Linked DNA regions of Caenorhabditis elegans. The protein of the gene in region 3 interacts with the protein of the main gene of each other region in a pairwise test. Each region holds a gene or a part of one and is shown on either strand. Other genes may lie near its edges.

The links. The genes of interacting proteins can lie anywhere in the genome.
Region 1: the proteins of csp-1 (region 3) and ctg-1 interact in a two-hybrid assay, tested with the Caenorhabditis elegans proteins (one large-scale study listed by BioGRID).
Region 2: the proteins of csp-1 (region 3) and pmp-3 interact in a two-hybrid assay, tested with the Caenorhabditis elegans proteins (one large-scale study listed by BioGRID).

The regions. Positions count from the first base shown.
Region 1 is NC_003279.8:7,002,595-7,010,659, reverse strand, and holds ctg-1 (Protein ctg-1), read right to left. Parts: upstream 5,218-8,065; 5' UTR 4,941-5,217; coding exon 4,879-4,940; intron 3,831-4,878; coding exon 3,668-3,830; intron 3,413-3,667; coding exon 3,227-3,412; intron 2,946-3,226; coding exon 2,788-2,945; intron 2,745-2,787; coding exon 2,657-2,744; intron 2,417-2,656; coding exon 2,169-2,416; intron 1,887-2,168; coding exon 1,720-1,886; intron 1,674-1,719; coding exon 1,594-1,673; 3' UTR 1,460-1,593; downstream 1-1,459. Other genes in the region: chd-1 (Chromodomain-helicase-DNA-binding protein 1), read left to right, coding at 1-121, 168-333, 612-1,084, 1,134-1,154. UniProt on the Caenorhabditis elegans protein: Vesicle trafficking protein. Functions in uterine cells to promote basement membrane (BM) mobility and BM gap formation during tissue remodeling.
Region 2 is NC_003283.11:14,643,902-14,653,697, reverse strand, and holds pmp-3 (ATP-binding cassette sub-family D member 4), read right to left. Parts: upstream 6,960-9,796; 5' UTR 6,946-6,959; coding exon 6,897-6,945; intron 6,509-6,896; coding exon 6,216-6,508; intron 6,166-6,215; coding exon 6,026-6,165; intron 5,637-6,025; coding exon 5,120-5,636; intron 2,731-5,119; coding exon 2,639-2,730; intron 2,162-2,638; coding exon 1,845-2,161; intron 1,518-1,844; coding exon 958-1,517; intron 907-957; coding exon 808-906; 3' UTR 233-807; downstream 1-232. Other genes in the region: rfc-1 (Replication factor C subunit 1), read left to right, coding at 7,953-7,986, 8,043-8,110, 8,157-8,261, 8,312-9,080, 9,130-9,449, 9,503-9,796.
Region 3 is NC_003280.10:13,598,766-13,606,680, reverse strand, and holds csp-1 (Caspase A subunit p16), read right to left. Parts: upstream 5,478-7,915; coding exon 5,475-5,477; intron 5,225-5,474; coding exon 5,096-5,224; intron 4,849-5,095; coding exon 4,499-4,848; intron 4,138-4,498; coding exon 3,996-4,137; intron 3,733-3,995; coding exon 3,594-3,732; intron 2,677-3,593; coding exon 2,423-2,676; intron 2,379-2,422; coding exon 2,172-2,378; intron 2,127-2,171; coding exon of another isoform or gene 2,126-2,126; coding exon 2,024-2,125; intron 1,980-2,023; coding exon 1,743-1,979; intron 1,672-1,742; coding exon 1,624-1,671; downstream 1-1,623. UniProt on the Caenorhabditis elegans protein: Cysteine protease which, in vitro, cleaves itself and caspase ced-3 into their mature active forms. Also cleaves, in vitro, inactive caspase csp-2 isoform b.

The DNA of each region.
Region 1 (8,065 bases), on a different chromosome or scaffold from region 3:
AAAAAACTTACAAGTTCGAGTCGATTATTTGTTGAAACTAATGTCCAAGGATAAAGTGAAGACAACGGAAAAAAAGGAAAGAAAACGAAAGGCAGATGATGTACCAGTTGGACCAGAAAAGGTTGGAATTTAATGTCTTCTTATTGAATATAATTTAAATTTTTCAGAAGAAAAGGCATACGAATAATGTTCCTCAAGAGGGAGAAAAGAAGAAAAAAGAAAAGAAAGAAGAGAAAAACAGCAGCAGTTTGAAAGATCAGCTAGCTCTTCTTTCGATTGATAAATCTCTTTATGGAGGTGCTCTAGAGGATAGCAGTGCCAAGCCATTCCTAGGTAAAAACTTTGAAAAAATATTTCAGAACTTACAGTATATGTTCTAAGACATTCAGATATGAATTTGACTGCAAAGAAATGTGGATTTTTAGAAAAAATAGTATTCTTAAATTAAACTTCATATGTCTGAAATTCGAAAAAAAATAATAATAACAGCTCTGGCTTCTAATCATCCTATATTCATTTATGAAAGTCTAAGAACATCTATTGTAAGTTGAGTTGAAATTAACTCCAAATCTATTCCATTAAAAAAATCAAAAACGTTTATGAATTTTCAGAATGTGTGAAGCTTTGCATGCCGGTACATAAATACATGAAAAAACTGAAGGAAGCGCAGGAAGCCAAAAATCAAGCTGACGAGGCCAAATATCTTACCCGACTCGGCGACTCGTTCCTTGAAAACCTCGAAACTCTTATAAAAAAGAAGCCAAAAACAAATATTCGAAAATGGTATAACTATTTGTGGATATTTCTTTGCAAGTTCACTCTGAGAGAACCTGGAGAAATGGCTGACCGATATAGAAGTATAACTTCTGATAAACACAAAAATCACCATCACCATCACCATCATAAGAGTAAGGAGGAGAAGCCGAAAGAAGCCAAAGATCACAAGGAAAGGGATCGAGAGAAGGACAGAGAAAGGAATCGTGGAGAAAGGCGGATGGATCATGGTGAAGGAACTAGTAAGGACCATCATCGGGAACATCATAAAGATCATCACAAGGATCATCACCATCGGGAGCAACATAAGGTATTCATTAAGAAAACAACAACATTTTTTTGATGTTTAATATTTTCAGGAGAAAAACCGCCGACATTAGTCTAACTCCATCTTTTCGTCTACCTGCACACACTACACTCACGGGTTCTTCGTAAACTGCGATATAATTTCCATCATCCCGTTTCTCTTTCCCCAAAACATGTCAATTTTTAGTTTTCAAATTCGTTGTTGATAAATAGAAATTCTTATTCATTTCTAAATGATATAATCCTAATTTTGTCCGTTTATTTGCCATTCCTTATCCATCTAGCTCGATTTCTTTTCCTGTTTTCTTTGGTCGGGTTTACTTTTTTTTGTTTTTATTTCAAATGTTTATCACATTTCATCTTTTTTTGTTTCCTTTAATAATGATCTGTTTAATAGTCTTATTAGCTACAAAGCGTGATCTTTATATAAAATTAATATAATCATTAGTTTTGAAAATTGTAAATAATTATACATTATTATTATCAGCGTTATCCTCCGATTAACATTAGAATTTACAAATCTTCGATTTCAATATTGTAGCGCAATTGCTTGGCAGAGAACCACGAATAGTAGTTGTCGAATTCGAGAACATCTGAACGCTTGAAAAGTTGAAAATATAAAAAAAAGAAGAAACGAACAGTTTCCAACATCAGTCACATCGAGATGTCCTGTGATTGGAACATTTGTACATTCGAGACGAATATATGGATAAACAGTTTCCATTTCAGTTAACTTATCACATGATCCTGTTTTATCATAATGAATTTCAAACCCAATGTCATCTTCATCAGTCATATAGGTCCAGCTGGAAAATATTTTATTACAAAATTTATCACCGAATATTCTAGTAAAACTCGAAATTTATTTATTTATTACAGTCATAATTTTGGCAGATGACCGCAAAAAATTATAATACATGATCTGATTTAAATACGTTTTAATAAGGCGTTCAAAAATGTTGAGCATTGAATTTTAAAACAACCTAATTGTTTAAAGTTTAAATTTGGCAATTTTTCAAGAATATGCTTTTAAGATACATGTTGAAAATTTGCAAATATTTGATCCACCACAAAAACCCATTACAAACCTTATCCGGCTTGGACGTTTCACTTTGATCTGAATTAAATGTTTATCTCCTGCGTAAACTGTAGTCAATTGATCGTAGTCAGCCATCGCCTTTTTTGGATCCACGAAATAGCTTTCATCGACAGCGCCACCTCCGTATTTGATACGTGACGGACATTTTGGGTCACCGTTTTCGACGAGATTACCTCCCCAATACATTGGCCATGCATCGAGGTTTACGATTTGAGCAAGAGACCATTTCCAATCAGACTGAAAAATATTTATTGATTAAAGTTCAATTCAACGTTTAATACGATCTTTGATTTTCCTTATTAAAAAAGTTCTAACGATTTTATCGAAGAATTGATCTAGTCTTATTCAGTTGTAATATTTGTATTAGGAAACCAAATAAGTCCTTGGACAAAAATCATAGATAATCTTAGAAAACATAATGAAAATATACACTTCAAAATTTTTTGTTGGAATTTTTTCAAAAATAAAAAATCTTACCTCGGAAGGCATTTCCACGAGGCGAGTGATCGGATCTTGAAGAATTGCCGTAATAGAAGCGTACGCAATTCTAGCCATTTCTGGTGCTCTGAAATGTATTCATTTATAACAAAGACGTAATTATTACTAACCTGATAATAAGAATCTTCCGAAGAAACAATGGGTAATGATCTTGGAAAAGACTGACAAGAGTTGTAAATGATGAAGCAAACTGTTTGCATGAAAAATGAGCAGATGTGATATTTTCCAAATCAAAGACTAATGTCATTTGTTCGAATGGACGGCCGGACTGCAATATTTTGTTTTTGTAGGTCAATGCATTTGTTTCCAAATGAAAACATATTGTTAAAAAAACACCCTAACTATTTCAAATTTTTCTAAAATTTCAGGTAACTTCCAAATTTTCAGAAATTTAGAGCACTGCCAAATAATCGAACACCAACAATGTTTAGATAAAAGTAGTGAAATCATACTGAGAAAATAAAAATCGTAAAAAAAAGGGACTCATTTTCAGCCAGAAAATAATTTAACTTATAATCAATACACTTCTCAAACATTGAAAGAACACACCTCTTTTGCTTTTTCTTCACAAAGTTTCATTCCTTTTTCAATTGCAGCCAATGAGAATTTGATATAATCCAATGAAGCAACTGATCTCAAAAGTCCTTCAACATCCACATTTCCCAACAGTGACATAAGGATTGGACGTCCTTCTGTGTCTCCCAGCAATCCATAACCACAATATTTTTCTAGACACTGAAATTAAATTTATATTCAATCAGCAGCTTTCCAATCAAAACTTCAATGTTTTCATACATTTTTCTCCTTAGCTTCTATGATTTTGATCAACTTTGCCCCTTTCTTTTCAAAATTGAATTATAAAATATCTGACAAATTTTATTTTTCAACGTTGTAATTTTTGGATCTTTATCTTATGAATGATAAAATCGTTGAAGCTATATAAAAGTGATGTATGATCTATAATGATTCATTAAATTCATCATCACTTACTTCTGGAGGAGTCCATTGTTCAATTTTATCAAGATGCCAAGCATTACGGAATGTCACATGCTTCTTTAAGCTTTCAGCAGTTTCATCAAATCGTCCTTCTTTTGCACGGAGCCAGCGGAGCACATAACCATCGTTTAAATTGTCTATTTGTGGAACTATTGATCTAAATATTGAACATTTTCTTTCCAATTTTTGTGAGTAATGTAATTTTTAATTGTTCATAAATTCAGTAGCTTTCTGAGTCTATACTGCATGACTAAAGCTATCAAATTTAGAGTAGCATCCGTGGGGAAAATGTTTAGAAATTTTTCTATGGTGCGAAAATGACCAAATATCATAGCAAAATTTTTCAAGTTCTTTTTTTTTGAAATTTTTGTCTTTATAATCAAAACGTAGCAATTACCCAGTCTTCATCTATCATAATTTTGGAAGCAAATCAAAAAAACTTTTTTTCAATTTTTTAAACGTTTTTTATATTTCAAATGTGCTCCCAGTATTTGTCTTCAAATATTATAAGCAATTGAAACAAGCGAATTGCTCAAAAATTCTTTAAAAGTACTCATTTTCAACGAAAATTTGGCAATTTTACAAAACGTTGACTGATAATTTTTTAGAGTGTTTATGAAAAAAAATTACATTGTTTGGGAACAATTTGTGAGTATAAAACATTTGAAGACAACTTTTCCGGGATATTCTATGATCTCATCCAAAACTAAGGCGGGGGATTCACCATCGTATAATTATTTTAACAAGGTCGTTCACAATTCTTGTGGGAAGAATGGACAACTTATTTATTGTATGTGACAATGAAAAATCTTCTGAGATTGGAATTTAATATGTTTTGAAACAATTTGAATATAAAAGTTCAAAGTAGAAAGTACGCGAAAGTTGAACGGATATTACAGAAAAATAAAAAGATGTTTATACGGTGATTACTACATGGAAGATCACAATCTTACCCAACTTTGTGAATTTGGTTGAAAACTATTGTAAGATTGAATATATTTTATTCTAAAGTTCTAACAGTTACTACGTATCTGTAACTCAAAATCTATTCAAAGAAGGTATTCAGTGAAAATTTTCAAAAACAAGTAGTTTTTTTTAATTTTCGAAAAAAAATTACGGTTTCTTTATAAAGATGTAAAAAATTCCTAATCGGAATAAAATTGTAAACGTGTAAATCAATATAAAACGTGTCAAGACCTGTATACCTGAGATCTCGAATAGTTTGCTGTTCGATGGACGTTGCAGCGGCAGTCGGCGACACCAACATTACTCGATGCAATGAATGAATTGGACGAGATGGAAGAAAAGACGAGATGGGATTGAAAAAGAAGAAAAGAAGAAGGAATAGGCGGAATGTCTGTCCACTCTACACTCAATCTTATACTATTTCTCAGTTACTGTAGTATTGTCTATGTTGTGTAATATCTCCGCAAATCTGTCGCATCGGCCCCCGTGTCTCGTCCAGCAGCAGCGCCGGTCACCGCCTTCGTCTCTTCCGAAGGCCTCTTGTAGATTTCAATCGTTGGTGAGGAACGAGAAACAGCCTAAGGAAAAGAATTGCAGGTGTCATCACATGGTTTTTGTGATTTTTGGAATGAATATCAGGTCTTGGAAATAACACCTAACTTGACAAAGTATTCAAATATAATCGGCCAATCTGTCAGGAAAATTAATGTTGAGTGTCGTTGTAACACTTATTTAAAAAACCGACGTGTGTTGAATGAGAAAAAAAGCGTTTTGTGCGTTTGGCACAGGCAATCTATCCCATGCTCACATTTCCCATGCACACATTTCCCATGCTGACATTTTCTCCCGTGCATACAAAATATTCCCATGCTTACGCCCAGTAGTTCGAGTACTCCCATGCCTACAACTCATGTTTTCCCTTTTTTCCGTTCCCATGCTGACATTCTCATACATACATTTTTTCCGGTGCATACAAAATTCCCATGCTTACATCCAGTAGTCGAACGTTCCCATGCTGACATTCCCATATTTTAACATTTTTTTTTCTCTCTATTTTGTAGGATATCATTAATTCGGTGAATTCCACAACTTTGAATGTTCATATTGCTGTTTCCGTGCAGTTATGAGTTTCGCAGTGTCTTAGGAACATTCCATTTTTTGTTGCATTTTGTAGGAATTCGGAGCTATCTTATAATTTCTACAAATTAGAAAGTCCATTTTGCATTATTTCATGTATCTCAAACCTATTGCTTCAAAAATAGCACAGAACGAATGTTGATTCTGTTTCTTTCATTAAAAAATGTGCTACTGTGCATTTTTTTTTCCCACTTCTACGACTTTAAAGGCGCGCGAATTTTCGCGCAATAATCTCGCCACGCGCATCCCATTGATTTGTTGAGCGCTGGCGAGACCAATGACGGGACCATTTTGTATAAATCGCGCGCCTTTAAAGTCGTAGAAGTGGGAAAAAATGCACAGTAGCACATTTTTTAATGAAAGAAACAGAATCAACATTCGTTCTGTGCTATTTTTGAAGCAATAGGTTTAAGATACATGAAATAATGCGAAATGGATATACTAATTTGTAGAAATTATAAGATAGCTCCGAATTCCTACAAAATGCAACAAAAAATGGAATGTTCCTAAGACACTGCGAAACTCATAACTGCACGGAAACAGCAATATGAACATTCAAAGTTGTGGAATTCACCGAATTAATGATATCCTACAAAATAGAGAGAAAAAAAATTTTTGAGCAAAAAAAAAATTTTACTCTATAGGCAGTCATCCCCATTTTTCTTCGATTCCTTGTTCATAATCGAGAACTAATGCATTTTGAAAAAAAAAGTGATCAGTTGTAACTGAAAGCTGTCAAGTAAGCCTAATACAATGAAAATGAGTAAAAAAATTGACTTTGTTCTCTTCTGGAGCACAAAAATGCTCCATGTCGGCATGGGAATACATTTTTGTAAGTATGGGAACAAATGTTTGTATGGGAATGTCAGCATGGGAACGTTCGACTACTGGATGTAAGCATGGGAATTTTGTATGCACGGGAAAAAATGTATGTGGGGGAATGTCAGCATGGGAACGAAAAAATGGAATAAATGAGGTGTATGCATGGGAGTACTTCGACTACTGAGCGTAAGCATCAGAATATTTTGTATGCACGGGAGAAAATGTATGTATGAGAATATCAGCATGGGAACGAAAAAAAAGGAGAAAAATGAGTTGTAGGCATGGGAGTACTCCAACTACTGGGCGTAAGCATGGGAATTTTGTACGCACGGGGGAAAGTGTCAGCATGGGAAATGTGTGCATGGGAAATGTGAGCATGGGATAGATTGCCTTTGGCACAGTGCCAGTTCCCCTTTTCGTTGCTCCCCTTTTCGCAGATCCCCTTTTCGCAGATCCCCTTTTTGCTGATCCCCTTTTCGTTCTGCTCCCCTTTCCGTGGGGCCTCAGGTACGAGGCGTCCATAGTGTGGGGAAAGAACGAGCGAGTTTCTCGCTTCGTGATTGGTCGATTTCAAAAAGTCAATAATCTCCATCATTCATTTTTCCCTCTGTCGACAAATCACTACTTGAATCTGGAAGGTTGGCTGATCAACACTAGAGCTGTAGACGTAGATCAACTATGCAAAAACTGGATGAACAAATATACAGTGGAAGTTGTCGCAGATGGATGTAGTGAGGCAACATTTGCCAAAGTCTACAATTGCACCACGTGGCCATGGAAGAGCTACCCTGATGATGTGAAGAAAGTGCTCGCGTTGGTTCGAGCTCCTGTCAAGGTTGGTAACTATTTCAAATAATTATTGTAAACAAGAATTTTCTTTCAGGAAAGCTCACCAACAGTTGGAAAGCAGCCCCCAGTGATTGTAATGTGTGACCTTGGTCTAGATCGCTCAGCTACTGTAGTGCTCACTTCAATCATCATAGAACAAGTGTTAGATGGGAAAACTCCCGATTGTGATGACTTGTTCAGAAAGATGCGTGATCAACGTGCTGGAGTCTTCACAATGAGCATCTTCTTCACGTATGCCATCCGTGCGGCGCTTTTCTATTTAAAGCTCAAACTTTAATGTCTGAACGAGAATGGAAATGAGGATGTGAAGACAATGATCACAGAAGCTCTGACAAAGGTCCCTGACGAAAAAAGCTAAATACCTCTGTATTTCAATGTTTTCTTTCCTACAATGAATCTTCGACTATCGATTTTTTTTGTTGAAATAAAGTTGTCGTTGCATACAGGGTGACTCATAATTTGATACTCGAGTTGCGCGTACAAAATCTTTTTTGTGAGAATGAAAAATTTTAGGACAGATTAATTATTTTATTGATAGCTGTCACATTTTTCTATCATTTAACATATTGATTCTGAGAAATGAGCGTAAACTGTTTCATACACTATTTGAAGGGGGAG
Region 2 (9,796 bases), on a different chromosome or scaffold from region 3:
CGGGTTCCAAATACCAAAAAAAAAACCAATCAATCTCAAAAGCCGACCTCTGATCTCGATTGTGCCAACCGAAACCGGTTTTAATTGTTTTATGGTATTTTTGTTGTTATTTGAAAATCTTCTTGTATACTTCTCAACGGGTACACATCCACTTGACTTGTTCGCTTATCCAAAATAGGAACATGACAATAAAATGATTGTCTTATCAATCTGTTGTACATCAGCTAGAAAAAGATAACAATTGTTTTAATATCCAATTTCTTGAAAGCTTCAAAGGCAGCATAATAATCAAATCACATGCTCATCACTCTTTGAAACTCAAAAAATGACAAACATATAATAACAGCAATTTGTGGGTAATTGGCAATTAAACGGAAATATGAAAAAGATACCAGTATATAAAATCGTAAAAAGGAGGAGAAGGAGCGAAGAAGGGAAAGAATTCGATGTAAGTAAAAAAGGGGGATGAACACGAAAAATCTCCAGTATGAAGCAGCATAAAGCGATATTTTAAAGTTGAGGATAGGAAAGAAAACAAAAGGATATTCACAGAACAAATACAGCAATCTCGAATTTTCAGAGCAAAAAATGCAGAGAGCAAGAAAAATTTGATAAGAAAATTTAAAAGGCGGATATCCATGAAACAAGAAGATTTCGGGGCATATGGGGGTAAAGCTCATGAGGATCTTAAAACAATCATACCTGAAGTAGTAAAAAGGGGATGTCCAAAAGCATGTAAGGGTACTTGGCAGGGAAAATTTGGAATATTCTATTGGGAAAAGTAAAGGAATGGGAGGGGGAACGTGATTACATGGAAAGAACTGTATCGGCACCAAGGAAACTGGCAGTTCGACTAGCTATCGAGGCTGTGTCAATGTCGTGAAGGGACCATTCTCCACTGCGACCCTGCAAAAATTAAAATTAAATGCATTCTTTAGTTTTTAAATTCAATAATACCTTGACTCTAAGTTCCATATCATGGAATTGTTTCAGCGAATACCGATGACCAATTGACACAAATGTGATCTTCTCTTCTTGCAATTTCCTATAAATTGCCATTTCCAGCTCGAATCCAATTGCTGACGTGGATTCATCAAGGAAAACTATCCGTGGCTTCGTATAAAACACTCGAGCCAGTGATAATCTTTGTAGTTCTCCAGGAGATAGTGTCTTCATCCAATCCCATTCAACTGGAGTATCAAGACCACCACATCGTTCGACTAGATGCTCCATCTTCACCCATTCCAAAATTTGAGTGATTCTTGCAACATCCTTATCAACTTGCAATGCTTTGACTGGATATACGATTTGTTGTCGCAGAGTGGTGTTTCCAGATGGGAAATATGGTTTTTGAGCCAGGAAGAACAGATTTGAAGTGAGTCGACGCCAATGACAATCCATTTTTCCTGACGAACAATGCCAAAGGCCAGCAAACATTCGAAGAAGTGACGATTTTCCACATCCACTGTCTCCAGTTATCAGAAGAGTTTGACCTTGGATTATTTGCAACGAGAGCACTGAAATAAAAGCTTTTTATGGAGAAAAAAACAGTTTTCTTTTTTTTTTTTGAAAATTTAGCGAAAAATTGGTTTTATGGTTTTTGACACCAAAAAAAAAACCAAGACAATTTCGTAGTTTGAAGACTTATTTTTTTGTGCATATATTATCTAGAAAAATGTGGTTTTTTAATGATTTTTACGTTTTGATTTATAAATATTAATGTTTCAAAATAAATTCAAAATCGACTTTTTCTTCCAGGTTTTTTGACCGAAACAATCTTTTGTCCCGGCTGTGATTTTATAATTTGAAATCTATGAATTTTGTAGTAGAAATTAAAAACTTACACTGAACTATCAAATGACTATGGTCATTGGGCGGTGAAAGTGTAGCCGAATCTACAGTAATCGCGACACCATCATCCGGCCAATCATCCTCTTGACCAGTTTTTCCTCCGAGTAGATATTGTGCTTCTTCCTCTTCCTGCTCATCTCGTTCCAGAGACATTTGTTTTCCATGAATCTCTTGCATGTGTCGGGACGCTGATTTATCATCTTCATCAGAAGCAATAACGACAACTGAAGATGGTACTGTAGATGGAGGACGATCAGTTTCAAGGCAATCCGAGTGAAGACGATTCAGCTCTTCGTGAAGTTCCATAACACTGAAAATTGGAATTTCGAAAAAAAAATTATCAAACGTATAAAAAGAAGAGTATTGGCGGTTCGACTATTTTTTTTGCACATAAAAATGCAACATATTTTTGATAAATGAAATTTCCTCTTTTTCTCTACATTTAATCCACAATTTTTTCTAGTGTTTCGATTTCCAATTTTTCGTTTTTGTTCAAAAACTAGGAAAAAAATGATGTCAATCTTAAAAACTACAGTAACCCACTCCTAGAAATTTTGCAATTTTTTCAAAGTTTTTTCTCCAAAAAACTTTTTTTTACGAAAACTTTATTTTCGTATTTTTGGTGATTATTGGTGATTTTGCAATCATTTTTAATTTTTCTCTCCGAAAAAAAAAATTTTTGGCGGAAAAAAGGTGCGGTGTTGTTTTTTTTTAAGCGCACAATTTTTCTAAAGTAAATATCAACAAAAAAGTTCTCCATGGGGAGAAATTCACAATTGAAACATACCGATGAGTGACTCCAGCAAGTTCTCCAAAATCTCCAGTGAGTTTTAACACCGTCGAGAAGCTGTAGATGAGGTACAGGTAGAAGAATGCATTCTGAAATTTGAAATTTTTTTATTAAATACGTTTTGAAAATGGAAATTTATCTTCCCTTGATCATTTAAATTTTTCAAATTATTTCTTCAATCCCATTTCAATTGTCATTTAGGATCCCAGTCCAACAATAGGGACGAAAGCGGCAGATGGGCTCAGATAGTTGGAAAGTGATTAATTAGTTTGTGTGCTAGAGGACAATAAATTGGCGACAGAATACGCGACGAAAAAGGGAATAAGCCTCTTGCAAATTAAGACAAGTCGAGAGTACTTTTCAATTTGATCTTTATATATTTTTGATGGATTAGTCTCTTTTATGAGTCACTTATAATTTTCCCCTCAATTTCTTATTGTTTATGAGATGGGCAGGTGGCCATGGGGTACGTGCACATTTGAAACCTCAAAGAAACAACGGAAGACATGTTTTTCCGGAGGTGTGACGTGAAAATTGGTAGCTTTTGGAAGAAATATTTAGTAGAACAACAATATTTGAAGTTTCTATACTTATAGTAAGTAGGCAATTTTATGTCATTTTTAGTGAAATATTTTAACGAAAATCCCATTTTTGTTCTTGACCGATTGTCTTTCACTTTCGAATTTCAAAGTTTTGTTGGAAGAAACCAAGAATTTCAAAAACTGCTATAGAATCCCTTTGGGCATTTAAATTCGAACAAAGTAAAACATCATCAAGTCATTTGGGAGTTGTTTTCTTCTTTTGTCTCCCCTCTTCTTCTTGTAGTTTAATCATCATCATTCATTTAAAAAAAAGAGCATTGATGAGATCATCACATTGTATCTAAATGCTCCAAAAGAGTCAGCTGACATTCCCTCTGTTCCATCACCCAATTCATTTTTCTTTTCTTTTCTTCTTCTGGCAACAAAACGACGGAAGGAATTGGAAGAAGAGACGAAAAAGGAGTGCCGATTGTGTTGTCTTGTGACTGCAGTTCAACTGCTGCTCAGAACAACGACCATCTGCTTCCCGGGGTGACAAGACACTTGAAAGAAAGAGAGACGAGCACCACAAAAATGGATGCATTAGTGATTTTGGATCCTTTGAAATGATCTTAGATTTTTTGAAGAAAGACCGACGATCGGATCTCGACAAAAGTTAAAATCTTCAAGTCACTACTACCCGTTCCACAAGATCCCGTAAGACAGATTTCAGTTCACTTGCCCTAGATATCACATTTCCATTGGTTTTTCAAACTCTAAACATTTCTTTTCTTTTTTTGTAAGTTGATAGGATGCTTCCTGTCAAAGTTTCTGAATTGTTTTAATTATAGTGCACGACTCATTGAGCAATCAAAAGTTTGGAACAATTTCAATATTAACTAAAAGGAAACAGGAAACATGATAGGACGCTTCCGAAGTAAGCTGCTCAATTGTTATGATTATAGTGCTCACTGCATTGCTCAACTCAATGAACAATCATAAGATCAACACAATTTCCAATCACTTTGAATTGAACAGACACCAAAATGCCAGTGTGACCTGATAGATTCTAATTTTTTATGATTATAGTCCTCGATTTACTGAATATTCAAAAAAAGTCGAAAGTAGTATTTTCGGACTCAGCGACACCGGAAACAGCCAACTCATTGTATTCTTCTGTTTTCCATTTTCTTCTTCCCATTACAAAATGCTTTTTTCTTCGATATTCATTCACTAGTTACTACGACCAGATGTCGTTCTGAACTAAGGCGGCAACAACAGCTTGTTTTTAAGAGTATAATGATGGCCACTTCAACGACCAGGTACTTTGGTTTCATTTGGCATCGTTCCCTCATCCGGAACAACCAGAAATCTCAGTCTGACGAAAGGGAGAGAGAGACGATACGAATTGAAATGTGAAACGGATAACTAGCATCCATTATTAATGCACTAGAGCATGCGAAATTGACTCAATCAGTGTCGAGATTTCGAGAGTCAGAATGAAAAGAAAATACTCGCTCGCCGCCGCGTCAGGAGACGAATCAGGAAATTCTATCGAAACTTTGGAAAGTGACAGGAAGATGAAAGTTTCAAAAGTGGGCATAAAAAAGTCTTTCGATGAAAAATTAGATTTCTAAAACATTTTTTACATGATTTTAGAAATTTAAAATTAAACTATTAAAATTAAAATTTAAATCCTTTGAATGAATATTTCAGAGATTTTAAAGATTTTTAATTAATAGAATTTTTTTAAAACATTTTTTTAAAATTTAGCTCGATTTTGAACATTTTGTTTTTAATTTTAGACAGATTTAGACGAGAATTTATTACATTTTTTTCTGCATACTTTTTGCTTTTTGTCTTCTTATCAGTATCGAATTGCATCGAAACATCGATGATCAAATTTTGAGCTTTGCATCTTTTTTTTCAGATATCTTTTTGAAAAGAAACAACTTACCCGTGAAACAATTCCATTCAATTCTGCAGGTGAAACGTCGTCATAGAGATGAGTGATGAACACGGGAACACCAATGATAAGATACGAAAGAATTCCACCGAAATAATCGAAAACATTCGTGATACTGTTTAGAACCATTCTCCATTCAGTTAGCGATTTTTGAGTTTCAATTAAATTTTTTAATTTTTGATTCGTCATAATATTCTCCAGAACACCAGCACGATAGAAGGCGATTGCTTCGACATTCGAACGAACTTCCATATGTCTTTGTCGGAAATCTCCTTCCATTTTCTCCTGTTCTGATACTTTTTGAACAATCGGAGACAAAATCATCTTGTTGATAATTGTTTGGATACAGAAATAGGTGTAGATCGCTGCGGGACCAATCCAACCGGAACTTTCATAAGTTAGCCATGTGTAATATCCAATTATGAATGGAGCTGTAGCAATTGGAGCTAGAAGATCATTGGAAAGGATTCGAGTGGCTTTTTCAATATCTTGGGTTAGACGTTGATCTCTGGAAAAATATCGAATTTAAATAATTTAAATTGAGAGAAAAGTTTTTCCTTTCAAAATTAAATTATCACGATAAATTTTTGATCGTTAAATCTTGTGTTGACATGTTGGTACGCGCATTTTAAGGCATCAAATTTTATTAATTGTTATAATGTGCCTATATCAACAAATTAACGCGAAATAAACAGCAATAAAATATGATATTTTTATTCTAAGCTGTATTTTAGCTGTTGCGACAATGACAAGTTGAACAAATTTCAAATTCTAGCTTAACTTGGTTTTTTCCAAATTAAGCGAAAAATCTAAAAACTCATAGTCAGCTTTTCAATTAAAAGAAAAATTGTAAAATATTATTTGATTTTATAAAATTAATTTATATAAAAAACTTACGGATTATCAAGCATATCCCCAGAAGAAGATAGCTTGAAGAAAGCTTGTCTCTTGAAATATAACCTATGCATCGTGAGATTACATACTTGACGACTTTTGATCGCTAACATATTTGTAAGATATTTGAATACTGCTAATGTCTGAAATTAAACGCTAATTAGGATGAGAAAATATCGAATTTCGATCTTACAAAAGCTTTTCCAAGAATAATCGCGGCTCCCCGTGCACACAGAATTTTAAACGTGTCAGCATCCTTGTTTCCCAGTGCCACGTAGAACAGACTTGGCTGGATTCCAACTAAATACGTCATTACTTGATCGAGAGCAGTTGCGATGAGCAGTGCTCCGGCGAGCCACGCGGTTATCGATCGACGATGACATGGAAACAGGATTTTAAGAAGACGCCAGAACCTCCGAAAGAAGAGGAAGTCGAGGGCCAATCTGGCCATTTTGACCGGATTTTGGGCCGAGGCGTTTTTGCGACCTGAAATTTTGTGATTAGGAAGGCTTTTTTCAGAAGATGCCCCAGAAATAGACATTAAGAAGAGGAGGAGTGGAGTTGAATTCAAGAAAAATAGTGAATTTCAGTGGAGATTTTAGACAAACTTGAAGCTTTTTTTATGACTGGACAATTCTACTGAGATCAACCGGAGCAAAAAACAAAGCATTTTTCTGGAATTTAAAATGTTTCAAGGAGAATATTTAAGACAACCAAACACCATTCAAATCCGAAACAAAAAAGAAAAGAAACGTAGGCCGGCCATACCATCCCATTCAAACCAAATGAGGTCGATAAAGGCGTTGAAAAGAGCACAAAGAAATGAGCACAGAGACGTGGACAATGAAGAACAGAAATGGATAATGATTATCACCTTTTTCTGTTCGTACTTCTTCCAGTTGAATTTCTTGATCCGACTCCATGCGGGATGTGCAATCTGGAAAGAGCTGGCTGTGAGTGAACATGCAAAAACATAATTTATATTTACAATAACAATAGAGATAACGACGATCAAAACAAAACTAAAAAACAAAAGCTATTCAAGGTGCTGCTGAGTTTTTGTGCATTGATAACAATTCAGTTTTACAGAAAAAAAAACAGAAAATGAAGCTTTCGGCATAAATTATTACAATTTTATGTTCCAAACATAAATAAACAGACTATAATGATTCGAATATTTTGAGAAAAAGCTTCAGTTTTCGACGGTTTTGCAGGAATAAGTTCGGTCAGCTGTACACGCAAATACATTTGCGTCCGCACACAGTGTAACGAGGAGAGTGGGGGACAGGAGAAAGTGAGGCAAGCGGAAAGAGAGATTGCAAACGCAGACGATGAAGAAAAAAATGATGGGCGGGGAAGCATTGGGCACTTTTTGGGGGAAAGATGAGGACCCTTTGATATTCAGAATTTTATATTCAGATTTATAACGTGATTCGTGCGAGGAGAATTATCAGTTTTATATAGGATCTTTGAGTTGAAATAAGACGAGAATTTAATTTTTTATCAACAAAAAATCGGGAAGATATGTAACGAATTTCTTGAACGGAAAATAGCAAGGAATCTTAAAAATTTATGAAAAATAAATTGCAATTTTCATACTGTAGAAATTAAAGGGACATTACGAATAAGCCGAATAAGGCCTCGGCACGATTTCAAAAATGCAAATACGCTCTGTTGGAATTTGCTTTTCCCGCTCAGTTTTTTAAATTTTAAAACTTTTTTTTTCATTCTTTTTCATTTTGGCTCCTCAAGATTGTTCCTGCTTTTCGATCGTTTTTTCGAAACCGAAAATTACGAAAATACACCCAGATTTTGGCGATTTTTGTAAGCCTTTCTATAGTTTTTAATCCCCAACAAAAATTATATTTTTTAAGCCGACGGAGAGAATCCAATCCCTCGACATTTACGGAAGATCGCCTCAAAAAAGGAAATGAGTACAAAAAGAAAGATTGTGGTTTCTTCGGGTAAAAAACAAATTGCATTCTGTGCAAATGTGTATTACGAAATTTCTTTTTTTAAGATTCCGATGATGATATGCCATTCACCCAGGAAAAGCAAAAGAAGGCAGCGACACCGGCGAAAAAAAGGGTTCGGAAATTCATGTGAACTGAACCCTCATTGAGAAATGTTTCAGACAAAGCCAGTAGTACTAACCGATGACGACGAAGAAGAAGAAAATGCACCTCAAAAAAAGACTGCACCAAAAAGATCGAGAAAGCAAGAAAAAGAAGAGAGCGATGTGAGAAAGCACTCTAATATCCATGAAATATCGCAATAATTAGCTTTTAGATAACCTCTGACGAAGACGAGCTCGTGCGCGGAACTGATGAAAAAAAGAAAAGAAAGGGTGGAAAAAAGGAGTTACCAGTTGGTCAAAAAACGCTGGATTATATGTTCAAACCTTCTTCGTCATCTTCGAAACGTGATGATCCTAAGAAAAAAGTCGAAAAAACATTAGTGAATCCCGCAGACTTCTTCAAAAACTCACCAGCGCCATCTGCATCAAAACTTCCAAAAGTTGCTCCGAAAACTGTTGAAAAACCAAAAACGCCAGCTAAGAAGCCAGTGGAGATCAGCCCGTCGACCAAAGAAAACACTAAAACAAAGAAAGTGTCGGACGATGAGTTCGTAGATTCTGATGATAGTTTTGACACGTTCACTCCTATTACTGTGAAAAAGAAGACACCTGAAAAGAGAAAGGAGACCCCGAAAAAGAAAGAGCTTCCTTCTGTCAAAAAAGAATTCCCAAAGAAGCAATCAATTCCTGTCAAAAAAGAAAAAGAAACTCCACAGAAAAAGGCGTTATCAGTGAAAAAAGATCCACCGAAAGTAACCTCCGAGTCATCTTCGTCGAGTCAAGTTTCCACGTCATCAGTCGTTTTTCAACCGAAACCAAGTGGGCCACCCCCAGCACTTTCATGGGTTGATAAGTATAAGCCGAAAAGGATGGGAGAACTTGTTGGCCAGAATGGAGACAAAAGCCCAATTAATAAGCTTTTGGAATGGATTAAAGACTGGGCAAAACACAATCTTGGCGAAGGGGCAAAAATTAAGAAGCGTAAGTAATTTTATTTCTATTTTATTATAATATTATCGGCAATTTTCAGCAAAACCAGCTCCATGGATGTCATCTCAAGATGGTACATCATTCAAAGCAGCTCTTTTATCGGGTTCTCCTGGAGTTGGAAAGACTACATGCGCCTATATGGCTTGTCAACAACTGGGCCTTCAACTTGTCGAAATGAATGCATCAGATGTGCGTAGTAAGAAACATCTCGAAGCGAAAATTGGCGAACTCTCTGGTTCTCATCAAATTGAGCAGTTTTTCGGAGCGAAAAAGTGTGCTCCACAAGATAATCAAAAGGTTCATCATATCCTGATTATGGATGAAGTCGACGGAATGTCTGGAAATGAGGATCGAGCTGGTGTGAGTTTAAATGAAGAACTAATATATTAATATTCAAATGTTTATTTTTACAGATCTCTGAGCTCATCCAAATTATCAAGGAGTCTAAAATTCCAATTATTTGCATTTGTAATGACCGGCAGCATCCGAAAATTCGTACACTGGCCAACTATTGCTATGATCTTCGTTTTCCAAAGCCACGTGTCGAGACTATTCGTTCTCGGATGATGACCATCTGTTCTCAGGAAAAAATGAAAATTGGCAAAGAAGAATTGGACGAAATTATCGAGTTATCCGGTCATGACGTCCGGCAAACAATTTACAACCTGCAAATGAGGTCAAAGGGAGTTGGAGCAAAGATCAACCAG
Region 3 (7,915 bases):
AAAAAATGGAGATGAGATCTGATGTATAAATGCTCTTTGACTACCTTCAAATGATCTTTGACTACCTCTATCTAATAAAATTTTCCGAAATTTTTTTTGAAAACTTTTCAAAATTTGATCAGAAAAATGCAATGTTTGTAGTTTTTTCTAGTTTGAATGTTCTGCACACGATTGCAGACGAAAACCTGAGGTTTAGTAGAACACCTAAGCTCAAAAAACGTACTCACTTCGGATGCTGATATCTCCGTGGAAAATTTTTTTATGATTTTATGATATATAAAGTGATCAACTACAAAGTTGTTTATCTTAATATAAAGTACAACTTTGTAGTTAATTGTTTTTTATCAAAAAACTTGTTGGTCGAGATAAAGTTGTGTAAAGTTCGGCACCTTCATGCTTGTATTTTCTTCTTCTTTTTCTGTTCATATCTCATCCAACCAATTTTTTGATAAAAAACGATTAACTGCAAAATTGTACTTTATATTAAGATAAACAACTTTGTTGTTGATCACTTTGTCATAAAAAATTATTACACGGAGTTATCAGCATCCGAAGTGAGTGCTTTTTTTGAATTTTGAGGTTCTACTATACCTCAGGTTTTAGTCTGAATTCGCGTTCAGAACATTTAAACTAGATAAACAACAAACATTGCATTTTTCTATAACATCTGATCAAATTTTGAAAAGTTTTCAAAAAAAGTTTTCAAAAAAAAATTTAGAAAATTTTTGTAAGGGGTACCCTTTGGATTTTTTTTCATAAATCGAAAAAAAAACATTGAAACCTAAAAAAACCAAATGTTTTTGACACTATCGCCAACAACATTTCAGTTGGACACATTTTATTGCAAAATCTCATTGCCAACTATCCTATGCTGACACCTTTGAAATATGCTTATGCTGACGTTTTGAATATGCTTATGCTGACGTTTTGAATATGCTTATGCTGACGTGCGCTTATACTGACAAGAGCTCTCACGAGAATTTCGTGATCCAAAAAACACATTGAAAGCTTATATCAGGACACCTGACGATGTAAAAGAAAACTGAACCTATCCAGATTCGAACCAGCAATGACTGTATCTGAAGACCGTGCGCTTAACCACTACACCAAAAGGGCGAGAGGTACGCGCGTTGACCTGTCTATATATATATTTTTTATCGTAAGTTTGATTTTAACATTGTTCTCTCTGGTGCTACTGGCACTGCTCCACCTTTATTTCTTTGAAGTCACACAGTAGTAAAAGAGCTATGTTGGTAAACGGTAGTAAAAGAGATTCCGTAGTAAAAGAGCCGATTGTAGTAAAAGATCTAGATGTGGAATTCGTAGTAAAAGAGATTCCGTAGTAAAAGAGATCTTGTAGTAAAAGAGATGCGCAGTAAAAGATCAAGTAGTAAAACAGTATTTGCCTGCAGCAAGTGCATCTTGTCCCACACGTTTTTTTTTAATTTTCCAATAATCCACATTAATTGTAATCAATGTTGCAATCTGAAAAGTGAAAATCAGCTAAATCAGAAAATAGGAAACAACTTACGTTTTGAGTTTAAATATTTAAAAATAAGTGAAAGAAGTGTACAGAGAAAACGCAAAGAAATTAAAATTTAATACGAACGCGCTGGAGCGCAGTTACATCGACCTTGAAAAGTGCCATTGTTTGGTGAGCCTGGATAATATCTGAAAAATACTGCATTTAAGATTTAAAAAATACTGCATTTAAGACAGCATTTAAGATTCGGTGAGCCTACCTCTGGGGCTTGTTTTAATACAACGTTCCCTTGAACATTCTCATACTTCGTAACAACATTTCTACCAGTTTCCGTTAATATATCGAGAAGGTGCATAGTTTTTGAATGCTTATTGAAGACTTTACACATGGATTTAATATACCATGTGCCCGCTTCTTCGTCTCGATAAGACGTAAACCCGTCCGTGGTGGAAAACGAGATGATGACGTCGGCGTTCAATGAAGTGAAGGTTCCCGGCTGAAATGCGAAAAATATTAAATCGATTTCTCCTTTAAACAAACCATTATACGTGACATCATTAAATTCCAAAATTTCGAGATTGGAGCACATTTGTCTTCCAAAGCTGGCAGTCCGTCAACGGGAACACCCATGTTCAATTTTCCCGAAAAAAGTTGGTTATTCGAAAAATAGAAAACCGAAAAACAAACCTCCGCGACATGCTGACACGGCAACCCATTTGGGCTTGAGAAGAAGATTTTGATGATACGCTAAATATGTGGATACCTCCATTACATTGACAGGCATGTCATCAATTCCAAAGACACTTCCAGCTCCATCACCATGACTTAATAGGAAGAGTATGATCGAATCGGTATGTGCCATCTCCGCGAATTCCTTGATAGCTTCAAGCATGCTCTGAAAACACAACCCTCAAATAGAGCTTAATAGTTTCACCTTACTTCAGCTTCAAGATTCCGTTTGCAAATTACTGTGTACTGAAGCTTTTGGAACAACTTGGTTAGATTTACTTCGTCTTGTTTCGTTCCGACTCTTCTCTCCATATTCTTGAAGTTCTCGTTACTTAATATGAGGACGGTCCCTCTCGGATTTGAATTCATCTCATAACAATACTTGTGTTTATGGTTCGATTTCTTGGCGTCCGTTCTCGGCATTCGACTCTGAGAGTCATACTCCTCCAGTGAATACGAGCAGTCTGAAAGCAGTTATTTCTTATTATAGATTCAAAAACTATAAATTAGTCGGGCTTGCTGATAGTACAGGAGGACCATAGGTTCTTATTTCCCGCCCATTGTGTAAACGGGTCTCTTGAGCATTAGTTTGAGCAAATGAGCTCCGCCCCTATGGTTAGCGTCGTTGGCTAGTGAAAGCACCTAGGCCCGCCCCTCTTTGTGTGTAGAGAATATTTCCCGTGGTTGACCACCCACATAGTTTCGTTGCGACAGCTCAAAGTTTAGAAAAATACCTTTTTGAGCCGCATCGTGATGGGACACTCGGACACCACGTGGGGTCTTAGCAGAAAACATGCATTTTTCCAAAGCTTTGAGCCATAATAATTTTTAAAAGAAATTTTCAGGACGTCTCATTACGAATTTGGTAGTTTAGGGCCATTTTGGATCTAAAAAAGCTACGACTCAAATTTCGCTGCACCACCTGTTAGCTGCTGATGCCTACATGCTTAAAAGTGAGTACTTTTTCTAATGTTTTTTCTATGGGCACTACAATTTTTGTCCTGAAATCCAAACCGCTTGCAGATGAGCTAGAAAAAGGAGATTTAGACGTTTTTATAAACAAGAGCTGTTTAGAATACATTAGTCTCACAATGCTGTCCTATATCTTGGTGAGCTTATTCTAAAAATAAATTAAAATGCCAAGCCTGAGCCGAGTTTTATGCACTAAAAAAGCCTGGTTTCATTTGTCCCAATCGTTTTCCTATTATTTTTCTTTCTAAAAGCCAATCACTTTTTGGAATTAATGACCTTCTGAATTCTAAGGAAACCCAATAGATGGAAATATGAGAATCGAAATTTAGTGAGAAAGTATCTTGCTTCGATATCTATGATTCTATTAAAAATTTCTTCTAGTTTTTTCGCAAAGTTATTGTTGACTTACCATGGCGGGTTTCAGCTGGGTCATCTAGTTTGGTGGGCTTATCAAGTATCGGTGGTTTCATACTTGAACCCAGACTCGATTGTACATCTAGAAATTCAACTGGAGATGGCTCTTGTATATTTGGATCCTTATTTTCAGTCTGAAATGAATACATATTGTGGTGAAACTACAGAGAAAATTCGGAATATCATGAGAGAACATCACTTTGATCTCGCTTCTCGTCTCCGGAGTCTTTTAAATCAATGTATCATAACATTGGCAGAGAGCGAGAAGTCAAAAGAGGAGAGAAGGAAACCGCAGAGACTTCAGAAGACTTTTAAACATTTTAGAGAGTACTTCGAGAAGTATTTACAGACCCAATACTTCAAAATCAAAAAGTGAATATGAAATGTGCAAACAAACCCTATGATAAGTAACAGGGGGTGTGGATATCCAATGATATGTGAATCCAGAACGATGAGTACCACTTAAGGTCAGAGAGTCGGAAGAGTATGAGATCAATCTTGAGTAGCAGTCTAGTGAAATTGTCGCTTTCGATGTGAACCTGAAAATACTTTAGTACATTTATACTCTTAAATAATACAACATAAATTTGATTAATGATTGTTTTTTAAAACAAATTGGCCATAAGTTTTGTGTTGCAAAATTAAAGTTCAAAATTGACAATTTTATTGGCACGTCGATTTCCAAAAAGTGAAGACCACTTTCTGCATTATGTTGCAATTAAAGTTGGAAACATTTCAAAAGTATTTCGAAAAATATTTGGCAAGTGAATCTGGTGACTCATCTTTGTTCTGAATCAGGGGTGTGCGGCAAATTTGCCGAACTTGCCGAATTTGCCGAGCACGGCAAATTTTGAGATTTGCCGCACACCCCTGTTCTGAATAATTCTTTTAAATACTAACCGGTTCCAGAAATCCACAGAGTCTATTCGAATTCCTGCACCATAGATCATTCTTATCATAGTTTCCTCGTCGAACTCGCATGTTTGAATTGCATTGGGAAGGAGTGGTTGGAACTTTTTCTTCACCGTTTCAATGCAGAGCTCAGATTTAATGCGTCGTTGGAAAACTGCATATATTTCCTTTTGGGAGAAAGGTTCTTTTCTTTTTTCTACTTGTTTTGTTTTGTCTTTAAGGAATTTCAGAAATCGTTCCATTTCAAAATCAATCAAAAATTCATCATTTTCTCCAAGAATTGGCTCTTCTGTATAGGAGCCACTTCTGCATATTTCGAATGTTGACTCGATTTCGATCTGGAAAAATAGAATATGATTTTTCAAAAGGCAAAACTTCATCTTTACAGCTACTTCACATCTATGTGGCCGTGAAAATGAAAAAACTCGGCCATCCACATTAAAATGTGTTCTACCAAAATCTTATTAAGATTATTTCGGCGAGTTTCACATAGATCTGTGATTAAAAAACCGATATAAACTTCTGACCGAGTTTCATTTCTTCTAGGCCAAGTAACTGTGGAGCATCATCGCGAAACTCACTAACCGTATTAAAATCTTCAGTAGATATTGTTGTTGATGAAGACATAGAAGAAGTCGTTTGAAAATTATTGAAATCTTCGACCAAATCATCGTCGAATTGTGATTTACAATTATCTTCTATCGTTTTCAGGACCTGGAAAAACAGAATAAGATTTTTCAAAAGGTAAAACTTTATCTTTATAGCTACTTCACATCTACGTGGCCGTGAAAATGAAAAAACTCGGCCATCCACATCAAAATGTGTTCTACCAAAATCTTATTAAGATTATTCCGGCGAGTTTCACATATATCTGTGCTTTAAAAAAAACGCGATATAAACTTCAGACCGAGTTTTATTTTTCAACACCAAGTAACTGTGGAGCATCATCGCAATACTCACTAACCATGTTTAAATCTCCAGTGGATTTTGATGCTGATAAAGAGATAGAAGAAATTTTTTGTGGTTATTGAAATCATTGACCATATCGTCGTCGAAATGTGATTTTGAATAATCATCTATACTTTTCAGGATCTGGAAAAACAAAATATGACTTTTCAAAAGACAAAACTCTATGTATCTTCACACAAAAACCGAAATCATCGCAAAACTAACTTACCATTTCTTTTTGAATTTTATCATCAGCCAATCTCACTTTCATCTCATCAGCCTCAGATCTCATCTCATCAATTTCATCAGCCAATATCACTAAACTTCGATCCAATTCTGCCTTTACATATTCTTCATCGTCACATAAGAATTCACTATCAAACGTCGACCAGTTGTCCATCTGATTCTCCAATCCCGTTAAACTCCGATCCATTTCCGCCTTTACATCGTCTTCATCGTCGTTCATCTTTCAAAATTTGCAGCGAACAAAACAGCAATTTTAAATACTAGAGAATAAATGATTTAATTTGTAAATTGAACTTCCATGAACTCAAATGTGTTTACACGTTTTTGGCAATATTTTGAAACTCCTTGCAGTTTTAATGATTTTAAAAATATAAAAATTCTCGATATTGGATTTCTTCAAATCAACGAAAAAAAACTTACCCTTCGTGATCAGATTCAGAGCTGTCATGAAGATTGAGATCAACTTCTTGAGTTTCATCAGCAAGTTTCGGAGTTTCAGCCTTGTGTTAACGGACATAAGCCGGTGCCACAGCTTATGGTTAAACATCATGCAAAAACACTTTGATTGTGTGCTAAAGCATTTATTGAGTCGTTGCTGTGCCAGACGACGAGAGCCTTACTTTCGTCCGGCGCCAGCAGGCAAGGTCTTTCTCGACTGAGGATGTTATTCTCTAGTCGGCTTATATACTCGTGAGGGCGTGACGCTCCCTGCTCAGAGACCGCGTGGGCTTGGCCTTCATTCCGAGATGAAAAACTTTTAGGGTGACAAGGTATTTTTGGGGACAAAGTATCCAAAGTGATATGGTATCCAGTCGACAAAGTGCCATTTGTCTCTGACCGGATCTTCGGTGACAAACTTTTTCAACTAGTTTTTTATATATATTTCTCGATCGATTTTTGTTTTTTTTTCACTGGAATAAGTTTTTAAATGCAATTTTCCATGGATTTCCGGCCTTGACTACTCACAATTGAATGTATGAACAATGATCTTTTGGGAAAATGCTGTAAAACGTCCAACTAACTTGGAATATCGTAAGATTCTTCCTTATAATCTGATCCTCAAGCTCCGAAGGATCACAGGGGGTACCTCCTGGTGATCTGATCCTTCAGCTTCAAAGGATCATAAGGGTACCTCCTGGTGATCTGATCCTTCAGCTCCGAAGGATCAGAAGGGTACCTCCTGGTGATCTGATCATTCAGCTCCGAAGGATAAGAAGAGTACCTCCTGGTAATCTGATCATTCAGCTCCGAAGGATAAGAAGGGTACCTCCTGGTGATCTGATCCTTCAGCTTCAAAGGATAAGAAGGGTACCTCCTGGTGATCTGATCATTCAGCTCCGAAGGATAAGAAGGGTACCTCCTGGTGATCTGATCATTCAGCTCCGAAGGATAAGAAGAGTACCTCCTGGTAATCTGATCATTCAGCTCCGAAGGATAAGAAGGGTACCTCCTGGTGATCTGATCCTTCAGCTTCAAAGGATAAGAAGGGTACCTCCTGGTGATCTGATCATTCAGCTCCGAAGGATAAGAAGAGTACCTCCTGGTAATCTGATCATTCAGCTCCGAAGGATAAGAAGGGTACCTCCTGGTGATCTGATCCTTCAGCTCCGAAGGATAAGAAGGGTACCTCCTGGTGATCTGATCCTTCAGCTTCAAAGGATAAGAAGGGTACCTCCTGGTGATCTGATCATTCAGCTCCGAAGGATAAGAAGAGTACCTCCTGGTAATCTGATCATTCAGCTCCGAAGGATAAGAAGGGTACCTCCTGGTGATCTGATCCTTCAGCTCCGAAGGATAAGAAGAGTACCTCCTGGTAATCTGATCATTCAGCTCCGAAGGATAAGAAGGGTACCTCCTGGTGATCTGATCCTTCAGCTCCGAAGGATCAGAAGGGTACCTCCTGGTGATCTGATCATTCAGCTCCGAAGGATAAGAAGAGTACCTCCTGGTAATCTGATCATTCAGCTCCGAAGGATAAGAAGGGTACCTCCTGGTGATCTGATCCTTCAGCTTCAAAGGATAAGAAGGGTACCTCCTGGTGATCTGATCATTCAGCTCCGAAGGATAAGAAGAGTACCTCCTGGTAATCTGATCATTCAGCTCCGAAGGATAAGAAGGGTACCTCCTGGTGATCTGATCCTTCAGCTCCGAAGGATCAGAAGGGTACCTCCTGGTGATCTGATCATTCAGCTCCGAAGGATAAGAAGAGTA